Macaca mulatta: one gene and its partners. The protein of the gene in region 4 interacts with the protein of the main gene of each other region in a pairwise test. Links are inferred from orthologs where the notes say so. Each region holds a gene or a part of one and is shown on either strand. Other genes may lie near its edges. The genes, in order: KHDRBS1, SYNJ2, SOS1, ITSN2, LARP6 and WAS.

Region 1 (4,394 bases), on a different chromosome or scaffold from region 4:
AAGTCACACCAGCCCAGCCAACATGGTGAAACCCCATCTCTACTAAAAATACAAAAAAAAAAGTTAGCCGGGCATAGTGGTGCATGCCTGTAGTTCCAGCTACTTGGAAGGCTGAGGCAGGAGAGTCGCTTGAACCCGGGAAGCAGAGGTTCCAGTGAGCAGAGATTGTGCCACTGCACTCCAGTCTGGGTGACAGAGCGAGACTGTGTCTCAAAAAATAATAATAATTAGTAAATAAATAAAAACTGTTAAGGGTATATACATTTGCAGAACGTGTTTGAGGTAGGGTATGTTTATACTTTAAGCCAATGATTTTCAAAGTATGGTCCCTGCACCAGCAGTATCAGAATTACCTGGGAACTTGTTGGAATTGCAAATTCCTAACACAAATCCCAGACTGGGTTTGAGGCCCAGCAGTCTAGTTTAATAAGCCCTCTTCTAGGTGATTCTGATGCATGAAGAAGTTTGGGAACCCTAGTCTTAAAATTCTAGAACATGGGAATATTATGTGATATTCTATTACAGAGTATTTTCTGATATTTAGAATGTTCCACTGATTTTAGGGAGTATATGTATTTTAACTATTCTCAGTGAATCATATAAGCTTTCAGTTGCTGCTCATTCCTTGGGCACTTTTCCCTCATCTCTGTTAGAACTCCTGTTATAGCACTTAACTATACTTCATTGCCACCCCTATAGTCTGGGAACTCCAGTATATAAACAGTGAAGACAGAGACCAGTCTGACTCGCTCTGTTGTATCTCCTGTGCTTTGCAAGACAGATGCCTGGCTCTTAGTAAGTCCTCCATAGTGATTAATGATTGTACCTATTATAGCTCTCCCTTCATCTGCCTCTCCATACCGTAGGAAGCACTCAAACACTTGCAGTCACTCAATGAATGAAGTTCCTTAATGGTAGGAAATCTTTTTTTTTTGTTTTTGTTTTGTTTTTTGTTTGTTTGAGACGGAGTCTTGCTCTGTCACCCAGGCTGGAGTGCTGTGGCCGGATCTCAGCTCACTGCAAGCTCCGCCTCCCGGGTTCCCGCCATTCTCCTGCCTCAGCCTCCCGAGTAGCTGGGACTACAGGCGCCCGCCACCTCGCCCGGCTAGTTTTTTGTATTTTTTAGTAGAGACGGGGTTTCACCGTGTTAGTCAGGATGGTCTCCATCTCCTGACCTTGTGATCCGCCCGTCTCAGCCTCCCAAAGTGCTGGGATTACAGGCTTGAGCCACCGCGCCCGGCCAGTAGGAAATCTTTTTGTATGCCAAGTTTCTATCTAATGAAACTGTCTTAACCTGTGAATTGAAAGTACTTTTGGGTGATGATGGATATGTCTGTGGCCATAATGGTGGTGATAGTTTCATGGGTGTATACTTATCTCCAAACTCATCATGAATTGTATACATTAATTATGTATGGGTTTTTACATATCAGTTATACTTCAATAAAATGTTTTTTTAGAAAGTACCTTGTGGCTGGGCCGGGCGCGGTGGCTCATGCCTGTAATCCCAGCACTTTGGGAGGCTGAGGCAGGTGGATCACCTGAGGTCGGGAGTTCAAGACCAGCCTGACCAACATGGAGAAACCCCGTCTCTACTAAAAATACAAAATTAGCTGGGCATGGTGGCACATGCCTGTAATCCCTGCTACTTGGAAGGCTGAGGCAGGAGAATCGCTTGAACCCAGGAGGCAGAGGTTACGGTGAGCCAAGATTGCACCATTGCACTCCAGCCTGGGCAACAGGAGTGAAACTCCGTCTCAAAAAAGTACCTGGTGCATTTTGTATCGTTTAGACATTGGCTGAATTTGGGCTAGATAATGGTGACAATATATTAAGTACTTTATGAAAAATTGCCTTTAATTAGGCATATCTACATATTTTATTAACTTCTCTTACGTCACACAACTAGTGAGTAGCAGAGTAAGAACAAGGTCTTTCAGACTCTTAAGGACTAGTATCTAGAGTACTAATGTCACTGTGGAACTTTAATGGAACTATCCATTGTATATTTAGATTATTGATTTTTGCTTTTTTCAAGGTAAGATTATATTTTGTCTTGATGCAGATTTTAATTTTTTGTTTGTTTCTTTATTCTCCTTTCCCCATCTCACCCAATTAATTTTGTTAAATCGATTTAAGAAACATTTAAATGTCTCTATTCTCACGTGAGGCTTCAGGTGAGGTTAGAAGAGCACACTACTTTTATTAGAAGCAGGCTTTGGGCTTTCTAATCAACTTCATATAACTTTAGTACTTTCAGCTAGTTTATTTCTGAAATTGGCACATTCATGTGTACTATTTGGTCTCACTATATGGTACTTCATGTTATTGCTTTAAGCAGACTTCAAAATTTGCTTTTATTTACCAGAGCAAAAATTTAAATTGTTTTTCCTGTTCAGAAATTGAGAAGATTCAGAAAGGAGACTCAAAAAAGGACGATGAAGAGAATTACTTGGATTTATTTTCTCATAAGAACATGAAACTGAAAGAGCGAGTGCTGATACCTGTCAAGCAGTATCCCAAGGTAAGGCAAAAAGTGCCTTGCATCTTTGAGTTATCTTTATAGTTACGAGAGAGTCATGGACTCCTGGGGATTGTGATGCTTTAGAAACTTAAGCCTGTGAAGCTTCTCTTTCATGCTTGCAGTACCTGTTTCTGGCAATTGAAATATCTAAGTTCTTAACTAAACATAGTTATAGCCAGGAAGGAAATGTAATAATCTTTTTATTATCAAAAAGTTTCTTTCTCTAATGACTGCTCAGGCTACAAGTTCAAAGAAAAAAAAAAAATAAAACCTGAAGAGTTGCTCTCTGTCAAAAGACTAACCTGAAATCTAAATAAAAGGAAATATAATACAAATCCTCAATTGGATGAAGTTAATTTTATTTTCTTACTAAAAGTTTACTTTTAAGTAAATGCTTTTTTTCTTCCTTTTTTTTTTTTTCTTTTTTTAGGAAAGCAATTAGTTACATTTAGTTTATCCAGCGTGCTATCAAAGGGTGCTATATAGTCTCTTCTGCTCTGAGGTCACTGCGTTAACAATGTTTATGTATGTTAAGGCATGCATAAACAGGCACAGTGGCTCATGCCTGTAATGCCAGCACTTTGGGAGGCCAATGCAGGCAGATTACTTGAGCCCAGGAATTCAAGACCAGCCTAAGCAACATAGCAAAACCGTATCTCTACAAAAAATACAAAAATTAGCCTGATATGGTGATGTGCACCTATAGTCCCGGCTACTCCAGAGGCTGAGGCGGGAGGATCACTTGAGCCCAGGAAGTCGAGGCTGCGGTGAGCCATGATCATGTCACTACACTTTGGCCTGGGCAACAAAGTGAGAGCCTGTCTCAAAATAAAGTAAAAAATAAAATAGTAAAGGTCTTAGTGTATTATGGAAGATGGCCAGAATACATCAGAAAAGCCAAATTCAGGTCTAGGAACTGCCACTTTCTAGTTTCATAATCTTAAACTAATCACTTTATTAATATGGCTTCAGCGTCCTTCAGTAAAACGGGAATGGTAATACTCTACCTTTGCAGGGTTGTTTAAAATCAAATGAGGTAATTTATGTGGAGATGTTTTTATATAGTAGCATGTATATTTAGAAATCCTTTATTTTCTGTCAGTTCAATTTTGTGGGGAAGATTCTTGGACCACAAGGGAATACAATCAAAAGACTGCAGGAAGAGACTGGTGCAAAGATCTCTGTGTTGGGAAAGGGCTCAATGAGAGACAAAGCCAAGGTAAGCTCACATTAGTGAGGCAAGAGGACATCCTAATGCCTTCTACTTGCCCAGAATGCAGTATAGATGCCTTATAGAGGCAAGAATATTGTGTATGTACAGAATGTGGCTCCTTTAAGTGTGCATTGGGTGCAAGAGATTATACACCAAGTTAATTTACTTGCTTGGCAACCCTGGAAGAGCCTAGGTGTGCCCTGGTGATAGTTTTCTTTTGGACTTTTGACTGCATAGTAATGGACAGAGCAGTAGCATCTTGTGCATTGGTAGGATTGTCTGGGAAAACTTGAAAGGGGAGCTGGATATACTAAAACTTAGTCTAAAGCAGACAAAAGACACTAAAAGGCAAACAGCACACCCCCTTTTTTGTAACCTGGAAAAGTGAGAACAATAGTGTTGTGAGAGCAGAAGAGTTTGAGGATTAGTTGGTTTGTTTTATAGCCGGCTGGAATGTGAGGCTTACTAAAAGAATGTATTCCAAAAGGAGCCATGAGTAATCCTGACTACAGAATCTAATGAGTCTTTTCCCATGCCATAGCCGCATATACTGTGTACTCTGTGACAAGAAACTTCTCACCAAAACAGAATGGTCTTAGCCTTCTGGGGTCACTTTATTTGATGAGATATGCCTGCTACAGTCCGAAAACCTATTCT
Region 2 (5,080 bases), on a different chromosome or scaffold from region 4:
TCCATCTGCAAAAGGTGCCGGTGCCTGGGTACCCTTGGTCTATCAAGCCAGTGCGCATGTGAGGAAGCTGCTCCCTCTATTGCCCAGGTGGGCTGTCCCACCCAAAACCAGAGAGCAGAGGCCCCAAAACCCAGCAGGCTCTTGGCTCACCCAGCTAATTCTCAGAGACGGAGGAACAGCCGCTGTAGTTCCTGGAGTCTGAGATGTGCATTTTAACATTGTCTATATCAGGGCAGAGATGACTATCAGTGGCATGTTCTAGTTTAATTGAAAGCTTTTTTTCTTTCTTTCTTCTCAGTGGTATATAAAATAGTGGTTCATTTTACAGTTGATGGTGACTTGGATTCTATAAGCTGTGAAGCTCAAGTGCTGGTCCTGACTGCAGGAAAATTTCTAAAATAGGTATGGTATGCCACTGTGCAGGATTTTAGACTATGTGATGCTAGTTAGGAAAGAGGAGAGAGAAATAAATGGAAGACTGGGTCCCCTCCCTAAGGCCTTACCACTTAATTTGCAAAACAGGGCTAAGAGAAAAGATATAAAAACACTTCTCAAGCAATATATATATATACATATATATATTATATATAATCTGGGTGTTATATAAGCACTATTATCTGGGACCTCAGCATTCCAGGAAGGCTTCCAGGAAGAAGTGAATTTGGGGTCAAAAAGTGGGTCACAGGCTCATATGCCTCACTGAATGGGCATACTGTTTTCATGAGGTAGTAATATTTCCATTTACACAGAAAGAAGCTGCTGCGACAGCTGATGAGCATCATGCCTGGGATATTGAGCACATCATGCTTGACCTGGGCCAAGTGTGTGGGCAAGGAAAGGGGCTGAGGGTCAAGATGATCTCTGCTGGGGTTGCTCAAATTTATTACCCAATCATCCCCTGAGAGGTTGTCCCCTTGTCTGGTCATTACTGAATGTCTGCAGGGGCATGGCAATGTTCTGCTTGGCTCTGGGGGCTCTGCCTTTCCTAGGACAAGTCCCAGAGACAAACAGCTTGGCCCAGTGCAGCAGAATAGGGTGAGAGCGGAACTGAGTTCGTCTGCCGGCGGGATGGAAACAGCTGATGGAGGCTTCTCCACGATCCCCACGTACCCATGTACCCATCACAAGAGAAGGGAATTAAGCCAATTAAGCCGCCAAACCACCCCAAAGGGTGATTCCAACTCAGCCCTAAACACCCATCCCCACTCCACCTCCCCTGCAGCTCTGACAGGCTGAGCCTCGGCGCTAGAACCCGGCGCCAGAAGGCCGGGCCACAGGTGACTGGGCTGCGAGGCCACACTCCAGCGTACACGCGCGGACACGTGCTGGTGTCCAGGGCCAGTGGGAGAGGCGCTGTCACCATCTGACAGGAGAGGAAGGTGGCGCTCAGAGAAGTCAGAGTCACGTGGTAAGTGGGGGTCGTGGTCTGGGGATCACGGCTCCAGGTTTCTTCGCGACAACGCACCGTTGACCCCCAACACCTCTCCCTGGCGGGGACAGTGACCGCAACAGTCTCCGCAATAGAACGCTAGTGAAAAGTAACCTTTCTCCAGCCCGCTCCACGCGCTCCGCACCCGCTAAGCGTCTCCGCGAATTAACTCAGTTTTCCTCGCCGAAGTAGCCGCAGTTATAACCCCGCTTCACTGCAGGGAGACCGAGGCACGCAAGGTCGAAAGGACTCGTCCAGGGTCGCAGGAGCCGACCACACAGGGAGGCGGAGCGCCCCCGGCGGGAGCAGTCAGCGGGTCCAGCCTGGCGGGCTCCCAGGCCGGGCTGCCCATATAAGGCTGCGGGCGGCCAGCATCGCGGCCCGGCTCTCGGGGGCGCCCCGCGCGGGTCATCCTCCTCCGCGGCGAGGAATGCGTGGCATCTGGGAGGCCCTTCCGCTCCACGCCCGCCCACGGGAAGCCTCGGCCCCGGGGCGCGGCCTCGCGCAGCTGCCTGGCCGCTGGGGGGAGCGCGGGGCCGGCGGGAGGCGGCGGTGCGCCCTCACCTGCCCCAGGCCGGGGAGGCGGGTGTGTGGAGGAGGAGGAAGGGGAGGAGGCCGGGAGGAGGCCGGGGAGGAGCCTGGCGCGGCGGGAGCGGCGGCGCAAAGTGAAACTCTGGGAAGTTGCGGGCGCGCGGGGAGCTGTAGCGGGCAGCGCGCCCTCGGGGGGACGTGGCCCCGGCCTCCGCCCGCAGCGGGCCCGACCCCTCATGGCCCTGAGCAAAGGGCTGCGGCTGCTGGGGCGCCTGGGGGCCGCGGGGGACTGCAGCGTGCTGCTGGAGGCGCGCGGCCGCGGCGACTGCCTGCTGTTCGAGGCCGGCACAGTGGCCACGCTGGGTGAGTCCGGCCCGGGGGCAGCGACGCCCGGAGGAGAGGGCGCCCGCCTTCGCCCAGCCTTGGGAAGACGGGTACCCCACTTCCCGAGGGAATCGGGCGGCGCGGGGACTGCCGGGGCGTAGGGGTCGCGCGCAGAGGGGTGGCCTTTTGAATGAAGTGGCACTGGGGACTCTAGAGAGCGCTCGGGCTGGGCGGGTGGTGCACGGAGGCTGGCCTCCCCTCCACGGGGATCTCCGGCCCGCGCGGCCGGAGGATGTGTTTGCTGGAGAGCCGGCTGGGGCGCTTTGCGTATTCATGAGGATCCCCTGGGGTTGACTGAGGAGCCGGCCTGACCCTGTGCCAGGCGCCTTTTCTTTTGCACCTGTCGATGAAACCAGTGATTGCCCTTTGGTTTGTGTTGGCGGCTCCACTCCTGGAGGGGATGGGGACCAAAGCCCCAAAAAGGTTCTGGAGAAACTGCTGATGGCACCTTTGTCTCACGTGAATACTTGGTCAAGAAGCATCCGTAGTGCAATTTATAGAACTTGTAAGCAAATATACCATGACCCTACCTTTATGCTGTCTTAGATCCTGCCAAGCCAGCGAATTTCACCTATGGACTTCAGAAGCCTTGAAACTGGCACTGTGCTATGGGCTTTAGGACATTATCTCACTTCATTCTGACAATTCTACTAAAGAGTTATTATTATCCCCATTTTGCAGATGAGCAAACTGAGGCCCGAAGAGGCTAAGAAAGTTGCTTGCCAAGGTGACATCATCCACCTGACTTTTATGTGGCTGTTTCTGTAATGTCATTCAATACATGGCTTCCTGGTATCAGTAACCTGGATCCCTTGTTTTGTGCTCACCATTATAAGGAAAGCCTGGGTAGCAGCAAAGCACGTGAAACCAGGTCTGATTGTTAGACTTGTAAATGTGGACACCGGAGAGTAGGCTCCCACCAGTAGGCGTCCAGCTGTAACAGCTTCCCGGTATTCCTAGCTAAACAAGGTGCAGCCCAGGGTCACTTGTGCTTGAGGTGGTCGGCAAATGCAGCAGGCAGTCACTTGTAGGATGCTTCATAGATTAGATGCCTCTAACCTTGTTTTCACATTTGCTTGTGTCGACTCTAGTTTAGATGTAGTCTTGGAAGGACTCTCCTATTTCTGATTCCCTAATCATTTAATTAACATGCATTTATCCAGTTTGTTCTCAGTCACTTGATTACTGAACCAATGTCTCCAGTATTCTCAGCATCAAAAGTGGGCAGCGAATTGTAGATTAAGTTATTTTCAGGTTATTCCAATGTGTGCTGTCCCGAAGAGTCTAAGTTTGGTCATTTGGTATGGCCTTAAAAGAAAACCACAGAAATTTTCATTCCATTTTAGATGTCTACTTCATACCACATTTATCAGAAGCAAAAGATTAATTTCACGGTACAAAACTACTGTTTCATCAAATAGATTAAAATGTCCTGGCCGGGCACGGTGGCTCAAGCCTGTAATCCCAGCACTTTGGGAGGCCGAGACGGGCGGATCATGAGGTCAGGAGATCGAGACCATCCTGGCTAACACGGTGAAACCCCGTCTCTACTAAAAATTACAAGAAAATTAGCCGGGCGAGGTGGCGGGCGCCTGTAGTCCCAGCTACTCGGGAGGCTGAGGCAGGAGAATGGCGTGAACCCGGGAGGCGGAGCTTGCAGTGAGCCGAGATCGCGCCACTGCACTCCAGCCTGGGGCACAGAGCAAGACTCCGCGTCAAAAAAAAAAAAAAAATGTCCTTCAGTTGGATTACAGCAACATTAAGTCAGGTTCATACACATTCAAGAATTATTTGAAGCAGCTTAGAAAAATTTTATTTTTTCAAAAGTGAAGATTTAAAAATGATTAATGACAGCAATGTAGTGCATATTTTCCATTAGGAGCTGGAGTTTGGGCTGAGATTTACATCACGTTGGTGATTACAGTATACCAGATTTTAGAACAGAGAATGTAAGAAAGGAATTGGCTCGTCTTCAACTCATGTGCAGTCCACATTTGTCATTTAACCTAGCATTCATTTTTCAGTAGAAAAAACTTAAAAAAATCTTTTCTTTTTGAAACAGAGGCTTCTTCTTTTGCCTAGGCTGGCATGCAATGGCACAATCACAGCCCACTGCAGCCTCAACTTCCCAGGCTCAAGCAATCTTCCCGCCTCAGCCTGCTGTGTAGCTGGAACTACAGGCACGTGCCACCATGCCTGGCTGATTTTTTTCTTTCTCTTTCTTTCTTTTCTTTCTTTCTTTTTTTAATGGCGTCTCACTATGTTGTCCATGCTGGTCTTGAACTCCTGGGTTCAGGTGATCTTCCCGCCTCGGTCTCCCAAAGTTTTGGGATTACAGGCATGAACTACTTACTGTGTCTGGGCTGAAAACTTAATTTTTTTTTTTTTTTTTTTTTTGAGACGGAGTCTCGCTCTGTCGCCCAGGCTGGAGTGCAGTGGCGCGATCTCGGCTCACTGCAAGCTCCGCCTCCCGGGTTCACGCCATTCTCCTGCCTCAGCCTCCCGAGTAGCTGGGACTACAGGCGCCCACAACCGCGCCCGGCTAATTTTTTGTATTTTTAGTAGAGACGGGGTTTCACCGTGGTCTCGATCTCCCGACCTTGTGATCCGCCCGCCTCGGCCTCCCAAAGCGCTGGGATTACAGGCGTGAGCCACCGCACCCGGCCCTTAATTTTTTAAAGTCTGTTTTATTTAAGTGAAATGAAACTATTTTTAAAAAGCAGCTGTAGCATTTGG
Region 3 (4,394 bases), about 15 Mb from region 4:
CCTTAATAAAATTTGAATTATAGAAGTGAGTGATTTCCCCCCCATTATGGGAGATGTCTTTCCCCCTCTTTATGCACAAGACAACAGCCCAAGTCTCTTGTGCTAGTGACAGCAGCCTTTCTCCACAACTTAGGAGAATACTGTTAAGGAGAGATGGGAGTAGGCCAGGCCTGTGGGAGTGATCACACTCAGCTTCTTGTTTTACTTCATGGAGATGTGAATGCAAAGTAGGTCCTTTCATGGAAGGGATTGGAGACTCCTGTATTTATGATTGATCTCTCAGTGTGACTACTTGAAATAAAGGCAATTAAAGGTTGGAATAGGACCAAACCAACATATTCTATCACATTTAATAGTTTTAATAGCTTATAAGTATTTGTAAGCATCTTTAAGCAGTTGTGAGATTTTTAGCAAATAATTTAAAAACTGTATTTAACTTAAGCTACTACTTTATAAATTCCAGTTTCCAGTTGTATGCTCTGTTAACATGATTTAAAGAAAGCTAGACAAGTAATCCTAGATAAACTAATCTTGATGAAAGGAAAAGTAATGGGTTATTGCTGTGGCCTTTCTCTTTATAAGGGAGATAAACCAACTGGTGATGCTTTGAGATCCTGGTAGCAGGTGGGAGGGGAGCCTGGTTCCCTGCTTTACCTTTGCTTTTCTTTCTTGCTCATTCCTATGGCCGATGACTTTAAGATCATCTTGTCAGTGTGCAGAGGGCAAGAAATAAGTTGATGTAAAGTTTTAATATCAATGTTTTCACCACTAATTTAGGAGGCACTAAGCTAGCAGTGCATTACCAAGCCCAGTCTGTTTGTCAAAACATTTTGGAACTTTTAAACTTGACTATTTGATCTATTTTGAAAATGTAAATAATAGTTTTAATCATTTTGAATCACATAGTTTAATAAGATATTTTTCCTTTTTCTTCTTAGATCCCAATTTTGTTCGGACATTTCTTACAACATACAGATCCTTTTGCAAACCTCAAGAACTACTGAGTCTTATAATAGAAAGGTCTGTCCATTTAAAAAATATTTAAATTCATTATTTTTTGTTAAAAAAGAGATTAAGCTAAGATCTTATGTTTTTCAGAAATGTTAGATGAGCTTTAAAATATACTTCACGAGCACTTTTTCAATAAATAAAATCTCTTAAATGAACATTTATTTTGTTAGCTTTTATTATTTCAATACAAAAATTATTTTTTGTATGTGAAAACTCGGTATTTGAAATTTCAAATTTACAGAACGATCTATATAAAATTTATAATTTAGAGTTGAGAAATTCAAATTTTGATGAGTTAGATGTTCTAAGTAAGTTTTCAAACATACTTCATGTTGAGTAAAATGGAGCTTGTCAGTGAACAAATACTGTGATGGAAGGAAAATATTTCATGTATCCAAACAAAGAGCAGTCAGTTTTTCTGGAATTACCCTTAACAGTGATTATGTCACCTGATTTAGAGTAATTCCACAGACCAAAAATGAATATCAGTCCCATAACTTTATAGTCACATTTATTTTTAGAATTTGCATGTATTCTTTATTTTGTTTGTAGTTAGTTTTATCTATATTGGCAAGTACTAATTTATTTTAAAATTTTAAAAATAATTTTATTAACCTTTAATATTATAGAAGTCTCACTTATTTACACTGACATGCATATTTTTAGTAATTTTTTACAGTATTCTCTTGATTTTGCTGACAGGTGGAAACATTTGTGGTTTTCTATTTGTATAACTCGATATAATTAGTATTTTCATTAATTTGTTCTATTTTATGTTAGGTTTGAAATTCCAGAGCCTGAGCCAACAGAAGCTGATCGCATAGCTATAGAGAATGGAGATCAACCCTTGAGTGCAGAACTGAAAAGATTTAGAAAAGAATATATACAGCCTGTGCAACTGCGGTAAGCATTAAATAAATGAAGCAAATAAGTCTTTATCAAACTTTCATTTTAGTGTTGAAGTATATAAGGACCTTTCCCAAACAAGGAGCGGGGTGACAATAAAATTAATAAATTAAATTTACTAATTATAGCAGTTATCAGAAATTATAGTGTAAGTCTTAATGTAGAATTTTGGAAGTGTTAGGCACCCTGATAAGAATAACTTGGTAAGAGTTACTGTGTTTTCATTTGTATTGTACCATGCATTGTGATAAACATTTATGTTTGATTCCCATGTAATTCAATTCTGTGTTAATGCTGTAGAGTATTAAATGTATGTCGGCACTGGGTAGAGCACCACTTCTATGATTTTGAAAGAGATGCATATCTTTTGCAACGAATGGAAGAATTTATTGGAACAGTAAGAGGTATGTTTTTTTTTTTTAGGTGCTTAGTTTTATATGTAATAAAAGTACCAACACGGTGACTATCAATTGATGTTATTGTGGTTCAGTAATACGAGATGTTTGTAATAGTACCAGCATAACCATTTGAAAAAGTTAAAAATTTTCATCAAACAACATTTAGACCTGCAAATTGCTCAACAGTCACCCTGTTGATCCAATGTATTTTCATTTACTGAATCAACTTACTGATTATTTTAAGAGTTGGTTAAGCCAAGTCTTCATACATATCCCAAAGTATGAGGGCGTTTGGGAATTACGTTGTGCCATTATAACACCACTGATGGAGGTCGAGTGGGCCACAGGTGAATAGAGAGAATCAGAGAGGAAGCAGAGTGGATTAAATTGAGAGTTTGTGTCTAACACTACCACTGATCAGATATGTGACTTTGGGCAAAATCACTTAGATTCTTTAGACTTCAGTTTTCTTATCAATAACATGAGGAGCTAGGTTTGTTGATCTCCAAGGTTTTCCTTCTAGTTTTAAAGATTATATGAGTGTATAGCTCTAAGGATGTCTTAGACAAACTTATTTTTATTTCCTTTGTATGCTCTAAATGATAATCAGAAAATAGTTAAATAATAGTACTTTAAATGTACAATACAAAACAGAGCCACATCAAAACTCACACTAAAAATGAAGGAATCAGTCCTCTGGCACTGATATTTATTGGTTTATAAAATGCAATGTGAATTAGATTAATAGTGTGTATAATCTATCCTTATAAATCTTGTGATTTACATAAGATATACCTTTTGGAGGATTATAAAATAATACATTAAACTGAAGATCAGAACAATGGGGTGGACAGTCTCTACAAATTAAGTACTTTCTAATTTTATTTGGAAAGGATCTGGAAGAACACGTGCCAGGCTACTAACAGTGGTTACCCATGTGGAGAAGAGTAGTAAGATTAGGATGGGGGCCGGGAAATGGAAAAAGGGAACTTGTATTTTTCATTTTGATCATTTGAACTTTTTATAGCAAAGATACGTTCAGGTATCATCTGTGTGATTTTAAACCATTTTAAAAATATTAAATAAAGAATATTTAAATGTTATTTAAAATATAATGTATTGCAGGTAAAGCAATGAAAAAATGGGTTGAATCCATCACTAAAATAATCCAAAGGAAAAAAATTGCAAGAGACAATGGACCAGGTCATAATATTACATTTCAGAGTTCACCTCCCACAGTTGAGTGGCATATAAGCAGACCTGGGCACATAGAGACTTTCGACCTGCTCACCTTACACCCAATAGAAATTGCTCGACAACTCACTTTACTTGAATCAGATCTATACCGGTATGTACTTTAACATTCAAGCTGAAAAATCATTTCAAAAGAGTGAATTTTTAAAATGAAATACTGATTTCTGCCTTACAGGGTTGTCCTAAGACTTAACTGAAATCGTACATGAAGTGTCTAGTAATGAGGCCAGGCAGGCACTTCCTGTTCTTTCACTCCCTTGGTCCCTCCAGCTGAATTTACACCTTCTGTCTTTCTGTGGTCACCCCTAGTTGGTAAGGCTAGGTTCAAATCCTGGCTTTACTAATTGCTGACCCTGGGCAACTTTAACCTCCTTGTGTAACTTTATCCTTCTGCCCCTTATTTTCCTCAAGAGTAAAATGGGGCTACTGATAGTACGTACTCCTGGGGCTGTTTTGAGGTTTGAAAGTCAATGTATGTACATTACCTAGCACAAAGTAAGGGCTCAATAAATGTTGGCTACTGCTTTATTGTGAACTTATAGCCATTATAGTCTTTTTTAGTTTATCATACTACATTGATATAATTATCTCAAAAATGTCCTTCTGATTTTAAATGGGGACTATTTAGAATCTTAAACTAAATTATTCATTTTTTAATAGCTAAATGAGAAAATGAGCTAAATTTATAGATCTCCCACTAAAAATCATATTTCTGAAAATTACAGTATTAGAATCTATTTTGTTTATTTCCTAGGACCCTTTTGTGGTAGGTTTTTTTCCTCTCCTCCTTTAGACCAAAAAAAAAAAGATGTAGGAATTGCATTG
Region 4 (5,136 bases):
AATCACCAAATCCAATCACCAAATGCTTAATATCGAATCACCAAATGCTTAATATTGCCCAAATTTATCCCCGAATTACACAGGGTGGGAGGTATGTGTGAGAGAGAAGATAGATAACTAGAGGTGCTTGTATTTTGGACTGTGATAGAGTAGAACAGGATGGACAAACTGGCCTCAAAGTTCTGACGGGAACCCTGGGATACAGTTATTTTAGTGCTTGGGATACTGTAGGCATGCATTCAGGACCCTGATTTCCACCAGAGGTTGTTAGCTTTTTGGTAGGGAGGCTTTAAATTTTTTTAAAAATTTCTTTATAAGCATCTGTTTCTACAAATTCCATTTTTGTCCTGCCGAGGATTTGGTACCTCCTTTAGAAGGAAAGAGGACTCAAGGTGAATTGCACCAGGTCTAGAACCCCAAAACACAAATGACATTGGTCAAAGGACGGGAGAAAAATGAAGACAAGCTATGTGCCTTACAGGAATAAAAAATAGGTTTTACCTCTCAGGCCAACTCTCTGGAGCACTATGTTGTGAAGGATTCTGGTGCTTTGACTCTCAAACATGGGCTCCAAAAGGGCACATCAGTTACCGGTGAAGTGTGCAATGCGAATGAGGCCATGTGCTCAAGACTGCTATCCTTGGCCTGGGTAGTTTGTTTGTAGATGGGGACAGATTGGCTGGTCCCCAGCAAGTGAGGGGCCTCCTAGACTGATACAAGAGTTAGGCCTCTCTGTGTCACTGAGGCTCAGGACCTGTTTGTCAGGTCTTGGTCAGGTTCTAATCGAAGAGTTAGGAAAAACACTGAGTGTGAGAGCGGGAAAAGCCTGTTTATCGTCATCGAAGTTTGGTAAATTCCTTGTGAGCTGGCTGGCCAGTTCAGATGGGCCTGGGTTTGGAGCCATTTCACCTTCACCTGCCTCAGCAGGTAAGGAATGAAAGGATGCCATGGGGTAATTTGATCTACACAGATCAAATCATGGGGATATGAGTTATGGACCCCGGACCAGCCCTCACCCTGCTTCTAAAAGTCAAAAGAAATCTTGGGTCTTGGCGGGGAGTGGTGGCTCACACCTGTAATCCCAGCACTTTGGGAGGACGAGGTGGGCGGATCACCTGAGGTCAGAAATTGGAGACCAGCCTGGCCAACACGGTGAAACCCATCTCTACTAAAAATACAAACAGCTGGGTGTGGTAGTGAGTGCCTGTAATCCCAGGTACTTGGAGGCTGAGGCAGAAGAATCGCTTGAACCTGGGAGGTGGAGGTTGCAGTGAGCACAGATCAATCGCACAGATCGCGCCACTGCACTCCAGCCTGGGCAATGGAGTGAGACTGTCTCAGGGAAAAAAAAAAAAAAAAAAAAATAGAAATCTTGGGTCTTATATCCAAAAATCTTGAGTCTTACATTTGGTTACTTTTTTTTTTTTTTAGACAGAGTTTTGCTCTTGTTGCCCAAGCTGGCGTGCAGTGGTGCAACCTCAGATCACTGCCTCTCAGGTTCCAGCGATTCTCTGCCTCACTCAGCCTCCCGAGTAGCTGGGACTGCAGGCGCCTGCCACCACGCCCGGCTAAATTTTGCATCTTAGTTTCACCACGTTGGTCAGGCTGGTCTCCAACTCCTGACCTCAGATGATCCAACCGCCTCGGTCTCCCAAAGTGCCGGGATTACAAGCGTGAGCCACTGGGCCCAGCCGACATTTGGTTACGTTCATTTGGTTACGTTCATACACTAACTCCTCCCTCACACAAATCAAAAGAAAGCCTTTCCCTTGACGGAGCTTCTTGTCAAGGGCAAGCCTTTGGGATACGGTGGCGACTTGAGTTGAAGCCTGGTCTTTTGTGAGGAGACCAGGAACCGGGAGGGGAGAAAAGAAACAAATTCTGAGTTTGACCTTGGCCTTTCCCTTGGCGAGGGGTGGGGAGGAAAGTTTAGCTTCGTCGTGCTAGGCTCTACGGGGACAGAGTCTTCCTACTGTGTGACTAGCGTAGAGGATGCTCCTTGTGGGCGCTCCGCGTGTGTTATGGAGGAGGGCGAGGAATGGTGAATGGATGATAGAGGGTATGGTTAAGTCCTCCAGGTCCCTGAGAAGGGTTCAAGAGGCCTGTAACAGACCCATGGGCAAGGGTGGGATCGACCTCCTTCCCACCTTCCACCCCCCAATTCCCAGAGAATTTGTGCCCCCACATCAGTGAAGAAAACTTCGGCGAGTGAGAAGGTTCCAGGGAGAGCCCCGTGGCGGGGTGCAACAGGGATGTGGCAGGCACTGCTTGGGACTTTCCAAAACACCGGGGTCTGCCGTGGCAGGAAAAGCACCACCCAAGCTCAACATGTCACCTCGGAGAGGAGGAGCCAGGTGGGTCTCCGCAGCTCCAGGAAGGGCTGCCGGGTCTGGGGCTTCGGGGCCTCCCCGAGGGCAGAGAGGAGCGCTTCGGACCCGACCGATTCGGAGCAGACTTTCAGGGTTCAGTGCCCCGGAACTCCGGGGGTGAGGAGCCACGCCCGGGCAGTTTCGGGCTCCGGAGGGTGGGGAGTCGGTGCCCGGCAGCGGGCGGGCCGTCAGCTGCCCGGCCCGGCGCCTACCTCCCCGCCCCCCGGCTTCCTGCGGAGGCCGCGGCCGCCATGTTGTTGTGGGGCTGAGGCGGCGCCCGCGGAGCCCTGAGCGGCCGTGACAGGCTACGCAACAGGTTCGCTGGCGGCGGCCTGACGACCAAGCCGGCTGCAGCGGCGGCGACGGCGGCAGAGCAGGGTCTCCCGGCGGCTGCCCGCGCCCAGACTGCCGGTGCTGAGGAGCGCGGAGTCGTGCTGTGACGTGCGGGAGGCGCGGCGAGGGCGCCAGGTGGGTGAAGCCGCTAGCGGGGCTGCCGGAAGGCGCGGGGCAGGTGCGGGCGCCGCGCCCGCTGCCGGGAGGCTCCCCCGGCCGGGCTGAGGCGGCTGCGCGCTCCGCACGACGGGGACGGGTCCTCGGGAGCACGGGCGGCCCCCGAGCTAGGCCCCTGGCGGGCTCGGCCGTGCCGGGCGGAAACCTGCGGCCCCGGGTTCCTTCCCCTGCCGCCCGGCCGGGGGGGACGCCGAGGGGGCCTGGGCTGGGCTACCCCTTCCTTGCGGCCGAGCCCGGGTCCCCGACCGCGGCCTCGTCTGGCAGGTGGCGGACGCCGGCAAGGGTCGGGGGGCGGCGTGGCCCTCTCACTTTCGGGGTGCGAGCAGAAGAGAGCTCTGGGGGCACCCGCACGCCTCCTCCGGGACCCATTTTATTTTCGCGGAGTTGGTTTTCCTTCCTGGCAAGGGTTGGTGCGGAATGTCAGGTGAGCCGCATCCCAGTGCGTCAAAGTAGCCCGAGTCACGAGAGGACAGTGGGCGGATGCTTGGCGTCCACCGCTCGCGTTCCTCCGGAGTTGGAAATGTTAAATTTACCTTCAGCGTTATTGACTTCCAGAATATACAGGAAGCACCGAGAGATGTAATCTCTCAGGCCAGATAAAGTTTATTTATTTATTTATTTTTTTAAAAAGACGTCTGCATGTGCATAGTGAGTGGGTAAACCGAGGCTGAAACTGCAGATGGCTTTGCATCCTGTAGAAAGATGCTCCATTTGGATTTATTAATTATGCGCTTTGTCGCTCCAGAATTACCAATGGCAAGTGTGCTTTATTTGAAACTTGTGTTAATACCGAAATAGGAATATGTTTTGATGAAGCCAACCCCGTTATGATAGGAATTAAGGTTAGCACAGAAATGACTTGCTTTGCTCTGTGCTTCTAGTTTGTTTCACAGTGTTTGCTTGCTTACTCAGGAATAGGCAAGGTGTGACTTGAAATTTTACGTTGTTAGCTCAGTTTAGGTAGCATAAGCTCTTGTAGGTTAAAGCTTCTTAAGCATTTCGAAAAATTGCCTCTCTCCCTGTGCTGGTGTGCTATGTTGTTAATCAGTGGTAAAACCTAAAAGCTACCTAGAAACATCGCATAAAACATTTACACGAATTAGTAATGACTTCCTTCAAAATTTAAAGATATTGACAACTCTGATGTGTTTACCTTGAGCTTTTTTTTGGTCCGTGCCTGTCAGCCTCTTGTAATTACAAAAGTAAATAAAGTGGATGTATTTGATGTTTTTGAAAACGTGGAAAAAATGTTCATTGCAGCTATTTTGATGTAGTATTAATAAGCAGTTGAAAAGCTTGCATTTTTTCTCCCTTCCATGTATTGATAACTATTCCCTGTGCCCACCTTTATAATGAAAGGTAAACTCGTCCGAGAAAACTTGACCTGTACAGAATTATTAAGCAGGAAGGTACCATTTTTCAATACCTCTCAAGGCTAAAATCTTGCTCTCTCCTGAATATGAGGAGGTGTATTAGGCATGTTCTGGGGATTGGATTAATAGTGTTAAAAAATTTGTATTTTCACAAAAATAGCACGTACCCGTCACCCAAACTCAGCAGCTTTCAAGAAGCTTTTTTTTTTTTCTTTCTTATTTTAAAAAATCATCTAACCTTATGTAGTTAGTGTATCTTTTTTAAAGAGTGGGAAATTTCGTATGTAACCTTAGGATTTTTAGTTTTAATGTAGAGTTTCACAAATTTCCATCTTTAGTAAGACAAAAGGATCACATATTGGCTGTCTCCTTCAACTATGCTTTGTTCAGTATAAAATACGTTTACCATGGTTGTCATTTATCGAGCACGTAACTGCATGTTAGACTCTATGCTAAGTGTTTTACATAATCATTTAAAGCTTACTAAGGCCCTAGGAGTAATTATTATCCTCCCATCAAAAAGATAAGTGAAATGTTAACCTGAAGTTTGACTACTTTAGGTCTCTGAGCTAGTAAGTACAATAGCCAGGTTTCAAACCAAGATCCTTTTAACTTCAGCACCTGTGCCTTATCTGGTATCGTCATCTTGGTTCATAAATTTAAAAAAGAGTTATATAGGTCGGGCACGGTGGCTCACGCCTGTAATCCCAGCACTTTGGGAGGTTGAGGCGGGCAGATCACAAGGTCAGGAGTTTGAGACCGGCCAATATGGCGAAACCCTGTCTCTACTAAAAGATACAAAAAATTAGCCAGGCGTGATGGCGCGCACCTGTAGTCCCAGCCACTTAAGAGGCTGAGGCAGGAGAATTGTTGAACCTGGGAGG
Region 5 (5,121 bases), on a different chromosome or scaffold from region 4:
TTTCCCAGTAGCTCAGATCCAGGGCTGTGAGCTGTTCTGGTGCACAAACAGCAATAGCACCAAAGGTCTCTCTCTCTTCCTTTACTTACTTATTTTAGGACCTCTTCTATCAAAAGAGAGATCCGAGAAAGAAAGGGACACAGATTCTAGTGTCCTTAAGAAGAGGGACTGTCCTCGCTGGGCCCCTGGATCTCTCCCCAGCCCTGCCCAGAAACCCAGGACCCTATACACGGTGTTCTTTTACAAGGACACTGCCCTCCAGGAGGCCTCATTTCCTGAGCCGATCCTAACTTGCTTTCCTATATCAGAACAAATATATTGGTGCAGGGTTCTGTTGTTTGGGGGTCCCAGTGTGAAAAATTAATATGATAAATTATGTTTAAGGCTCTAAATAAAGTGCTACACGAAAGCAGATTCAGGTCTTATTCATTTGCCCTGCCCCGCCCTGCCTTGCCTTGCCTTTTCTTTTCTTTCTTGGAGTCTGGCTCTGTTGCCCAGGCTGGAGTGCAGTGGCACGATCTTGGCTCACTGCAACCTCTGCCTCCCAGGTTCAAGTGATTTTCCTGCCTCAGCCTCCCGAGTAGCTGGGACTACAGGGGCACGCCACCACGTCCAGCTACTTTTTGTATTTTTTTAGTAAAGACGGGGTTTCACCATGTTGGCTAGAATGATCTCAATCTCTTGACCTCGTGATCCGCCAGCCTCGGCCTCCCAAAATGCTGAGGTTACAGGCGTGAGCCACTGCGCCCGACCGGTCTTATTCATTTCTACGCTCCTGTCCCTAGTTTCTGGGTCACATTTGGAGGGGTGAGATGGAACTCAATTTGAAGCTACACGTGTAAAGGTGGCAGTGTTTTAGAACATCCTGACGTTTCAATAGCTCCCTTTATTCATTCAACAAATATCTGAGAGCATACTATGTGCAGGGCATACTCTATAGGCCCTCGGCTTTCGAACTTTTGTGAACTTCAGCATCACCTAGAGGCCTTGTTAAAACACAAAGTTCTGAATCATAGATTCTGATTCAGGAGGTCTGGATGAGCCCTAAGAATTCAATTTCTAACAAGTTCCCAGGTACAGCTGATGCTCCTGATCTGGGAACCACACTTGGAGAAAAACTGATACAGGGCATGGCAGGAGCCAAGCCCCTGATCTAAGACACGATCTAGAGTGGTTATTATGTCAAAGAGACTAACGATGGAGATTTTCTCATCTTGGCACGTCAGTGGGGAAGACACGCAGGAGGCCTGGAAGCCCCTGGAGCTGTGGTCTGCGCCTGCCACCCCCGGAGTCAAGCACAAACAGAAGTCAGCTGTGCTGTGCCCATCCTTGCAGCGCCGTGAAAGTAGGCGCAGGAGGAGGGAGCCCTGACGCCTCTTCTCCGGCTAGGGCCCCACAGCGGCGAGAGGACGGAGGGAGGGATCGGGGGTCGCGGGGATCCTTCCGGGACAGGCCTCCGCGGGAGGAGCTCCGGAAAGCCGCCCTCCACCTCCGAGGCCCCGCCTGCGCGGGCGCTCAGCTAGCGGTCGGGGTGGTAGTGGTGGTGGCGGCGGCGGCGGCGGCGCGGGGCGGGGCGCCGCGACCCCTGTTCCTCCCCCGGGCCGAGCGGCGGGCGCGCTCGCACCGCCCCCGCCCCCTTGTTGCAGTCGCTGCCGACCGGCTGGCTGGGCCTCGCGGCGTGAGGACCCCGGCAGCGCCGCAGTCCCGCGAGCCATGGCCCAGTCTGGCGGGGAGGCTCGGCCCGGGCCTGAGACGGCGGTGCAGATCCGCGTCGCCATCCAGGAGGCCGAGGACGTGGACGAGTTGGAGGACGAGGAGGAGGGGGCGGAGACGCGGGGCGCCGGGGACCCGGCCCGGTACCTCAGCCCCGGCTGGGGCAGCGCCAGCGAGGAGGAGCCGAGCCGCGGGCACAGGTAGGCGCGGCGGCCGGCCAGGGAGGTGGGCCCCGAGGGGGCGCCAGGCCGCGCGCGAGTTCGGGGCGCTGACTGCGCGCGACAACTCAGTGGGCAGAGGGGGTTGAGTCAGCCCCGCTGCGGATGAAGCAGCTCCGGGCCGAGCCCCTGAGTCAGAACCGGCCCGTGGAGGCAGCCGGTGCCCCAGTCCGCAGCTTCGTCGCCCCACCGAGGTTCCCAGGGCTGGCGGCCGGGATCTGAGGGGCCCGGACGTGGGGATGTTCAGGGATCCAGGAGGACTTTCACGGGCCATCCAAGCCACCCGCTCCTCTGGAGGAGGCCTCTTCTCTGTGGGCTCCCTCAAGACACCACCCCCACATCCCTGCAAAGTGCATCCCTGCCCGCCTTCCCCTCTCCTTGCGAGTGGTCCCACTTACCCTTCACTGCCAGCATCGCCCTGCCTTTCCCAGTCCCGCTGGATGCGCTCAGTCTTTAGGTGGTGGCAGGCCAGGTACAGCGGACACTTGCTGATGGGGGATTCCAGGAGATGGGATTTCATGGTAATTTGAGACAGATACAGGACTTGCTGCTTTACATCCTCCCGCTCTGGGGGGATTCCCATTTTCACACAGCCTTTCCCACCCGACCTTTATGTTTGCATCATCATCTTGCTGTCTTGGGTAGGTGGGTTCCTGGGTTTTGGGTAGTTTGGAGCTGCTATGGCACCTGTCTAACCTTGTCCCGGGTCCTGAGCTTTGTCCGCAGGCACCTTGGCTCCTGTCCACTAATGCCCAGACCCTTAAGGACTGGGGTTTTGTTCCTGCTGTTGAAAGGAGATACAACATAGACATAGACATGAGAGTGGGAAAATGACAGAACTTGCACATTCTGGGGGATGCCAACAGGCACTTGTTAGGAGCTTTCTTTCTTCTAGGACCCTTTCCCAGGCGTTTAGCTGTTAACGTTCTGCAGGATTGTCCTGGCAGGCATATATCTACTTCATTGGGAGAATCCTCAACTTAAGGGTGGATGAATACTGGGCCCAGAGCCATTCTCTATTACTGGCTGACCCTTCCCCAGGTTAAAGGGTCAGATTTCTGGACCCCGAGATTCGGGGCAGACCAGTAGAGACAGTTATTAGGGGAGAAAAGTCAGCCCACCAGGGTAGGGCAGGAAAGCTGGACCATAGCATATGACGCGGTAGATAGATCTGTGGCTTTATAATGCAAGGCCTGATTCATTTAGCTCTGTGCTAAGTACCGAGAGCGTAAAAATGATGAACCCATAGTCACTGACAGCTCACAGTCTTGAGAAGGCAGTCACCTAGTTAGATAATATCCGAGTACGTAAAATAGCCCCGAGTAGTTTATCCTTATAACTTTATTTTCCTGCGGCAGTGGCAAATAGCCATCCCTATCCTGAGGGCTAAATTTGTGAGATTGTATCATTAGTCAGGATTAAAGCTCTACTTATGTTTAAGGCCTGGAAAGATCCCCTATGGAAGTCTAGGAGAAACCAAGCTTCAGTATGGGTGGGCCTCTTGCCTGAACCCCTCTTGCTCTTCCTCCAGAATTCCCAGCTCCCATGGCTTGAGTCTCAGCAAGTGTTCAGTCTGAAGCCCTTCCTGCTGCCCACTGGCATAGAGTTGACCCCAGAAAATCCCTGGGGTTCTTCAGGGAGCCGACAGAGCCCAGTGGGCAGGCACCCAAAGCACGAGGAGATGTAGCCAAGAACAGGATTCACACTATCCCCTGTTTGGGCCCAGCCTTGCATGGCAGCAGCCATCACCTGATGTGAATGTTCTCAGCTCCTGGAGCCTACAGGAGAAAGCCCAGATTCCTCAATCTGCTCATTAAGATGCGACACCCACTCACATCATCTCCTCAGCCCATTGCTTCCTTCCCTGCTCCCGCAATTCCATCTAGTTGCCTGAGCACAGGGGGCTATTTTGTGTCTACATGTCTCTGCACCCCCACCTCTAGGTCCTCTGATTGACTGATTTCTAGTCAGCCTTTAAAACTTTGCCGCCTCTTCTCCACCCACCCCCAATCCCCACCCCAGAGCTGGCTGTGTTTCCTTTCTTCTCTGTTGCTGTAGTACTCTGTACATTTTATGCCTAGCACCTTCCACAATTGTGATTCTATCATTGTGTCTCCCTCACAGGGATAGGAGCTCGGTGAATTCAAGGACCATGCTTGCTTCCTTCATTGTATCTTCAGCACCTAACACAGCACCCAGCACATAGGACATATTTGTTGACCAAATGCATATCTCTGTCATCACACTCACTCCATGGTGTTGAGATATGTGTGTTTCCCCTCCCCTAGACAGTGAGATCCTTGAAAGCAGCTGCCTTATCTTACTCCTTTTCGTATTTCCATACCTAGCCTAATACCTGGCTTATATAAGGGAACAGAGAATAAACGAACAATAAAGAAAAGCCTTTACAACCTCTAAAATGTTCATGGATCATCTCCCCACATCTCATTCATTAAAAAGATGCCTTTCCTTTTATTCTCACCTTTTTAACATACATATTTTCAAACATAAAGAAAATATGAAAAACCAGTACTATGAGAATTCATAGACCCATCATCTAGATTTAACACTTAATATTTTGCCATATTTAGTGAATGGATATATAATGTATGTGTTTTCCCCCGAACCATTTGAGATATGTTTTACACAAGATTATACCTTAAATACTTCATTTTGTAACTCCTAATAATGACATTCCCTATAAAGCCCTAACACTATTATTGCAACTGAGAAAATTACCTATCATTCCCTAATATAATCCTGAAGATAAGCTAATCGCCAAGTTCCACATTCAGGATTCCCCAGATTGTTCCACAATTGTCTTTTACAGCTGTTTATTTTTTCCCCTCAAACCAGAATATGGTCTGGGTTGAGGCATTTGCTTCTTATGTCTCTAGAATCTGTTTATCTAGAAATTTCCACCATTTTTTCCCCTAATGCTTTGCTATTTTGGACAGAAGAGGCCAGATATCTTGTTGAATGTCTCACATTTTTGATTAGTCTGGTAATGTGTTCATGGTCTTATTTTACTTGCTCCTTTGTACCATGTGCTTCTTATAAACTGGAAGTTAGGGCTAAGATTTTGATTTGATTCTGTTTAAACATTTTGGCAAGAATGCCTCATACTCTGTGCCTGGAACTTTATGTTGCATCACCTCAGGAGCCATCTCACCTTTAGTGATGCTAAATT
Region 6 (5,058 bases), on a different chromosome or scaffold from region 4:
CCACTTGTGGAAATAGTCTGTCATCACCTGAAGAAGTTAGAGACATGCAAACCCTACGCCCTCAGATTCCCCTCTGAGAGCCTGTGTGCCGATGTAGACTCCCGCACAGGAGATGTTGTGGGAGCGAACACTGCAGTGTTGCTCCCAACAGCAAGAACCAGAAACAGCCCAAAGGCCTGTTACAGGAAAATGTGGACACCCAGGCTGCACATGCACACCACTGAATGCTGTATGGCAGTGGAAATAAATGAACAGCTACCGCTACAGGCAAACAGGAATCATAGCAACAGCTGGGAGCGAAGGCATGGAGGGACGAGAACGTGCACTCACACCCGGCCTGCCTGGCTCGCACTCTGGGCAAAGGGATCAGAACAGTGCCTGGCACACACGTTAAGTGCTATGTGAGTGTTAAGATAAAACTAGGATGTCCAGTGGGGAGAAAGCAAGCCTTTGAAGATTATGTGCTTTTACAAACTTCAAGTGCAATGAAAATTAAACAAGATGTTGTTCAGGCATTCATATATGATATAAAGTTCCTTTTTTTTTTTTAAAGGGATGTGCTGGGCACGGTGGCTTATGCCTGTAATCCCAGCACTTTGGGAGGCCAAGGAGGGCGGATCATGAGGTCAAGAAATCGAGACCATCCTGGCCAACATGGTGAAACCCTGTCTCTACTAAAACTACAAAAAAGTTAGCTGGGCGTGGTGGCGCGGGCCTGTAGTCCCAGTTACTCAGGAGGCTGAGGCAGGAGAATCACTTGAACCTGGGAGGCTGAGGTTGCAGTGAGCTGAGATCGCGCCAGTGCACTCTAGCCTGGCGACAGAGTGAGACTCCATCTCAAAAAAAAAAAAAAAAAAAAAAAAAAGATGAGCAGAAAGTAATTTGGGAGCTGCAGGGAGGCAAGGGTAAGGGATGGGGAAGTGAACCAGAGGCATATGCGTCATTGGCAGTGTCTAAGCACTCAGGATAGGCGTGGATCACAGGGGCTCACTCTGTAATTAAAAGGAAAAGGGTTTTTGTTGTTGTGTTGTTGCTGTTGTTGTTGCTGTTTTTGAGACAAGAGTCTTGCTCTGTCATCATCCAGGCTGGAGTGCAGTGGTGCAATCTCAGCTCACTGCAACCTCCGCTTCCCGGGTTCAAGCGATTCTCCTACCTCAGCCTCCTGAGCAGCTAGGACTACAGGTGCATGCCGCCATGCCTGGCTCATTTTTGTATTTTTTAGTGGAAATGGGGTTTTGCCATGTTGCCCAGACTGGTCTCGAACTCCTGACCTCAAGTGATCCGCTCGCCTTGGCCTCCCAAAGTGCTGGGATTACAGGTGTGAGCTACTGTCCCCAGCGAAAAGGAAAAGTTTTAGTGTAGTAACCCTTCAGGACTAGGGGCCTTGGGCTTCAGCCTCAGGCTACCTGGGTGCTTTAGGAAGGAGGCCACCCAGGCCCATGACTACTCCTTGCCACAGGGTGCCCTGCACACAGATGTGCTGCCAATGGCTAAGCTCTCACTGCCAGCCAGAGGGAAGAGGGTCTGAGCCAGTCAGAAGGAGATGGGCCTCAGACAGTAAGAAAGGAGGAGGAGGACCCAAGCTGATCCAAAAGATGGGTCTAAGCAGTCAAGTGGAGGAGGGTTCCAATCTGATGGTAGAGGGCCCAAGCTCGGCCTAACGAGGAGGAGGCCAGGCCCACCAAGGGGCCCCTGGAGGACTTGTTTCCCTTGTCCCTTGTGGTTTTTTGCACTTCCTGTTCCCTTGCTGCTCACTGCGGAAGTTCCTCTTCTTACCCTGCACCCAGAGCCTCGCCAGAGAAGACGAGGGCAGAAAGCACCATGAGTGGGGGCCCAATGGGAGGAAGGCCTGGGGGCCGGGGAGCACCAGCGGTTCAACAGAACATACCCTCCACCCTCCTCCAGGACCACGAGAACCAGCGACTCTTCGAGATGCTTGGACGAAAATGCTTGGTGAGCTGGGGATCTCCTGCCCCCGCCCCGTCCCCACCATTTCTTCCTCTTCCTCTCCTCCTTCTCTCTCTTCCCCTCCTCCCGCTCCTCCTTTCCCTCTCCATCATCTTCTCTCCTAGACTCTCCTGTTATCATCCACCCTCCCCAGGAAGATCTCAATGTCTACTTGCCTTCCCTCTGGCTGCAGCTCTTCCTTCGGGCCCATGACTGTCATGAGGCAGGAAGGACCAGGTCTGGCTCCAAGACCTTGTGGCTACCCCTGACCAGACTCCACTGACCCCTGCTTTCCCCTCCCAGACGCTGGCCACTGCAGTTGTTCAGCTGTACCTGGCACTGCCCCCTGGAGCTGAGCACTGGACCAAGGAGCATTGTGGGGCTGTGTGCTTCGTGAAGGATAACCCCCAGAAGTCCTACTTCATTCGCCTTTACGGCCTTCAGGTGACCCCCCCCCCGCCCCTGACTGGACTTGCAAGCCAGTTCTCAACCCGCAAACCCAGATCTGTGTCCATATGTGTCCACAGTCCCAAGACCTCAGACCTGATCAGTGAATCCCTGAGCCCCAGAACCAAAGACTCATCCAGATGGCAAACTCTGGCTTGCCTTTCTAAGTCTGCAATGGCTGGCCCCAGTCTCCATATCAAGATCTCTAAAGCCCCCAGTATTAGTCTGCTGCCTAAGCCTAATCTTTTCCACAAATTCCAATAAATGAGCACTGTATTTGTACCTGAACCTCAAATCTATTCTAAACTCAACATTTTGCATCCCAGGAATCTCTCATCAAAACTCCTGAACCCCAGATGTTTGCCAAGCTCCTAAGTCATAAATCTGTTCAACAAACCCCAAAGTTGAATATTCCATTGATCCTTGAACTCCAATTCTGTCCTTTTAAATCCACAGCACAGACCCCAGAATTCCCATATTAAAATTCCTGAACACTCAAATACCGAGGTGGTTCTTAAGCAAAAAGTCTTTTCCACAATTCCCCGACCTGAACTTTCTAGGTTTAAGCCCCAAATTCATCCTTCTAAACCCATAAAGATGGACCCAGCATAACTTCCAGATCCCAAGACTGTCAAATATTCACCAAACTCCTAAGTCATAACTCTTCTCCACAAACCCCAAATTGCACTTACTTTAGCTGGACCCTCCGCAAAACTCCCAAGTCTACGTGTCTGAACTTCAAATCTCATCTCCAACTCCCAAATACTAGAATCCTACCTGTCATGAATTGGGGCTGGGGTGGCAGGGGAGGGCATGGATTGAATCTATGAATGAGCCTCAACTTCCTAAGACTAGAGTCCTAAATTATGAAATTCAAGCTCCCAAGTCCCACATCTAGGGCCCCGAACCCCAAATCCAAACCTCTCACAAAAGTGTATGGCTCCCAGACTATACTCCACATCCACACCCTTAGATCTCAGCTCTCTGGTGCTGAGCTGGAAATCTCCAAACCAGACCATGAGGCCCCCAAATCCAGACACCCTGCTCCCTGCCCAGCTAACAAAGGCCTGCCACCCCTGGTGTGCCTCAGTGCCACTGTGCCTCCCACCCTACACCTCTCCAGGCTGGTCGGCTGCTCTGGGAACAGGAGCTGTACTCACAGCTTGTCTACTCCACCCCCACCCCCTTCTTCCACACCTTCGCTGGAGATGTAAGTGACCAACCAGCCCTCGGGCCTCACTTGGGGTGTGGAGAGGAGATGGGAAAGCTGTGGGGGGACCTGGGAGGCGGCTGACCCCAAGATATGTGCAGGACTGCCAAGCGGGGCTGAACTTTGCAGACGAGGGCGAGGCCCAGGCCTTCCGGGCCCTGGTGCAGGAGAAGATACAAAAAAGGAATCAGAGGCAAAGTGGAGGTGAGGAGGCCGCAGGGGAGGAAAGGAAGTTGGGCAGAGGTGAGTGCAAGCATGGGGAACTAGAAAAGTTATCTCTCATGGTCCTGGCTCCCAATCCATCTGTCTATCCACAGACAGACGCCAGCTACTCCCACCACCACCACCAGCCAATGAAGGTGAGAACTCTAGTGCAAGTAGCGGTAATAAGGGGCTAGCCCAGGAACCTGTGGCAGGGTTGTGATAGCTCTCTACACATTCTATCTTCCCAGAGAGAAGAGGAGGGCTTCCACCCCTGCCCCCGCACCCAGGTGGAGACCAAGGAGGTGCGTGCTGATTCTTCCCTGTGTCTCTGGATGGATGGGTGGGTAGGTGGAAGAGTGAATGGAGGAATGAGCAGTTGGATGGGTGCGTAAGTGGGTGAATGTATGGGTAGATGGATGGGTATGTGGATGGACGAGCGGGTGCATGGATGTGTGGATCGATGGATGGGTGGATGGATTGGTGGTAGATGGCTGAGTGGAGGGATGAGTTGATGGGAGGATAAAACTCTAAGTAGATAGATGCATAGGTGAATGGGTATGTGGATAAATGAATGAAAAGGTAGATGGATGACTGAGTAAATTAGTGAATGAGTGAATGAATGAACAGTGAATAAACGGCTAAATGACAAATTTCAGTCAGTGAAGAAAGCATGATTGAATGAATACAAGAGTAAATGAAAATTTTAACAAATCCATTAGTCAATGAGCCAGTGAATGATAAAGCATGAGGGAATGAAAAAAATAAATGAATCAGTGAATGTATGAATTGTTTGCGGGATCCACCCACTTCTCCATAAACCCTACTTGAATCCTTCACCCACAACCTCCATGGCCATCCAACACACACACAGATTTCCCCCAAGGCTTCCGTTTCTTGCCCCTGTGCTTTGGTTGGTTGGTAAATGGGTCAATGGGCCAACCACCCTATTTTCCCCACAGGCCCTCCAGTGGGTCCGCTCTCCCTGGGGCTGGCGACAGTGGACATCCAGAACCCTGACATCACGAGTTCACGATACCGTGGGCTCCCAGCACCTGGACCTAGCCCAGCTGATAAGAAACGCTCAGGGAAGAAGAAGATCAGCAAAGCTGATATTGGTGCACCCAGTGGATTCAAGTGAGAACCAGTCCCCAGTGGGCCCACAGATTCCTGGGGGCAGAGGGGCACATGAACAAGTGGACAGCTGAGACGATGGAAGGAAGGGCAGATGGCTGGGTGGCTGAGTGGGTAAA

What was found.
Region 1: the proteins of ITSN2 (region 4) and KHDRBS1 interact in a two-hybrid assay, tested with the Homo sapiens proteins (2 studies listed by BioGRID and IntAct, with this or other methods). The link is inferred for Macaca mulatta from reciprocal best matches to the Homo sapiens genes ITSN2 and KHDRBS1.
Region 2: the proteins of ITSN2 (region 4) and SYNJ2 interact in a two-hybrid assay, tested with the Homo sapiens proteins (2 studies listed by BioGRID and IntAct). The link is inferred for Macaca mulatta from reciprocal best matches to the Homo sapiens genes ITSN2 and SYNJ2.
Region 3: the proteins of ITSN2 (region 4) and SOS1 interact in a two-hybrid assay, tested with the Homo sapiens proteins (2 studies listed by BioGRID and IntAct). The link is inferred for Macaca mulatta from reciprocal best matches to the Homo sapiens genes ITSN2 and SOS1.
Region 5: the proteins of ITSN2 (region 4) and LARP6 interact in a two-hybrid assay, tested with the Homo sapiens proteins (2 studies listed by BioGRID, with this or other methods). The link is inferred for Macaca mulatta from reciprocal best matches to the Homo sapiens genes ITSN2 and LARP6.
Region 6: the proteins of ITSN2 (region 4) and WAS interact in a two-hybrid assay, tested with the Homo sapiens proteins (2 studies listed by BioGRID). The link is inferred for Macaca mulatta from reciprocal best matches to the Homo sapiens genes ITSN2 and WAS.

What each region holds. Positions count from the first base shown.
Region 1 is NC_133406.1:208,851,052-208,855,445, reverse strand, and holds part of KHDRBS1 (KH domain-containing, RNA-binding, signal transduction-associated protein 1), read left to right. Parts: intron 1-2,399; coding exon 2,400-2,524; intron 2,525-3,626; coding exon 3,627-3,743; intron 3,744-4,394. UniProt on the Homo sapiens protein: Recruited and tyrosine phosphorylated by several receptor systems, for example the T-cell, leptin and insulin receptors. Once phosphorylated, functions as an adapter protein in signal transduction cascades by binding to SH2 and SH3 domain-containing proteins.
Region 2 is NC_133409.1:76,849,871-76,854,950, forward strand, and holds the start of SYNJ2 (synaptojanin-2), read left to right. Parts: upstream 1-2,089; 5' UTR 2,090-2,196; coding exon 2,197-2,323; intron 2,324-5,080. UniProt on the Homo sapiens protein: Inositol 5-phosphatase which may be involved in distinct membrane trafficking and signal transduction pathways. May mediate the inhibitory effect of Rac1 on endocytosis.
Region 3 is NC_133418.1:85,930,424-85,934,817, forward strand, and holds part of SOS1 (son of sevenless homolog 1), read left to right. Parts: intron 1-938; coding exon 939-1,020; intron 1,021-1,791; coding exon 1,792-1,914; intron 1,915-2,217; coding exon 2,218-2,321; intron 2,322-3,440; coding exon 3,441-3,663; intron 3,664-4,394.
Region 4 is NC_133418.1:100,660,810-100,665,945, forward strand, and holds the start of ITSN2 (intersectin-2), read left to right. Parts: upstream 1-1,779; 5' UTR 1,780-2,354; intron 2,355-2,715; exon of another isoform or gene 2,716-3,303; intron 3,304-5,136.
Region 5 is NC_133412.1:48,462,171-48,467,291, reverse strand, and holds the start of LARP6 (la-related protein 6), read left to right. Parts: upstream 1-1,639; 5' UTR 1,640-1,713; coding exon 1,714-1,913; intron 1,914-1,983; exon of another isoform or gene 1,984-2,452; intron 2,453-4,055; coding exon of another isoform or gene 4,056-4,137; exon of another isoform or gene 4,138-4,332; intron 4,333-5,121. UniProt on the Homo sapiens protein: Regulates the coordinated translation of type I collagen alpha-1 and alpha-2 mRNAs, CO1A1 and CO1A2. Stabilizes mRNAs through high-affinity binding of a stem-loop structure in their 5' UTR.
Region 6 is NC_133426.1:48,758,242-48,763,299, forward strand, and holds the start of WAS (actin nucleation-promoting factor WAS), read left to right. Parts: upstream 1-1,765; 5' UTR 1,766-1,821; coding exon 1,822-1,953; intron 1,954-2,250; coding exon 2,251-2,391; intron 2,392-3,517; coding exon 3,518-3,604; intron 3,605-3,705; coding exon 3,706-3,808; intron 3,809-3,921; coding exon 3,922-3,963; intron 3,964-4,056; coding exon 4,057-4,110; intron 4,111-4,767; coding exon 4,768-4,942; intron 4,943-5,058. UniProt on the Homo sapiens protein: Effector protein for Rho-type GTPases that regulates actin filament reorganization via its interaction with the Arp2/3 complex. Important for efficient actin polymerization. Possible regulator of lymphocyte and platelet function.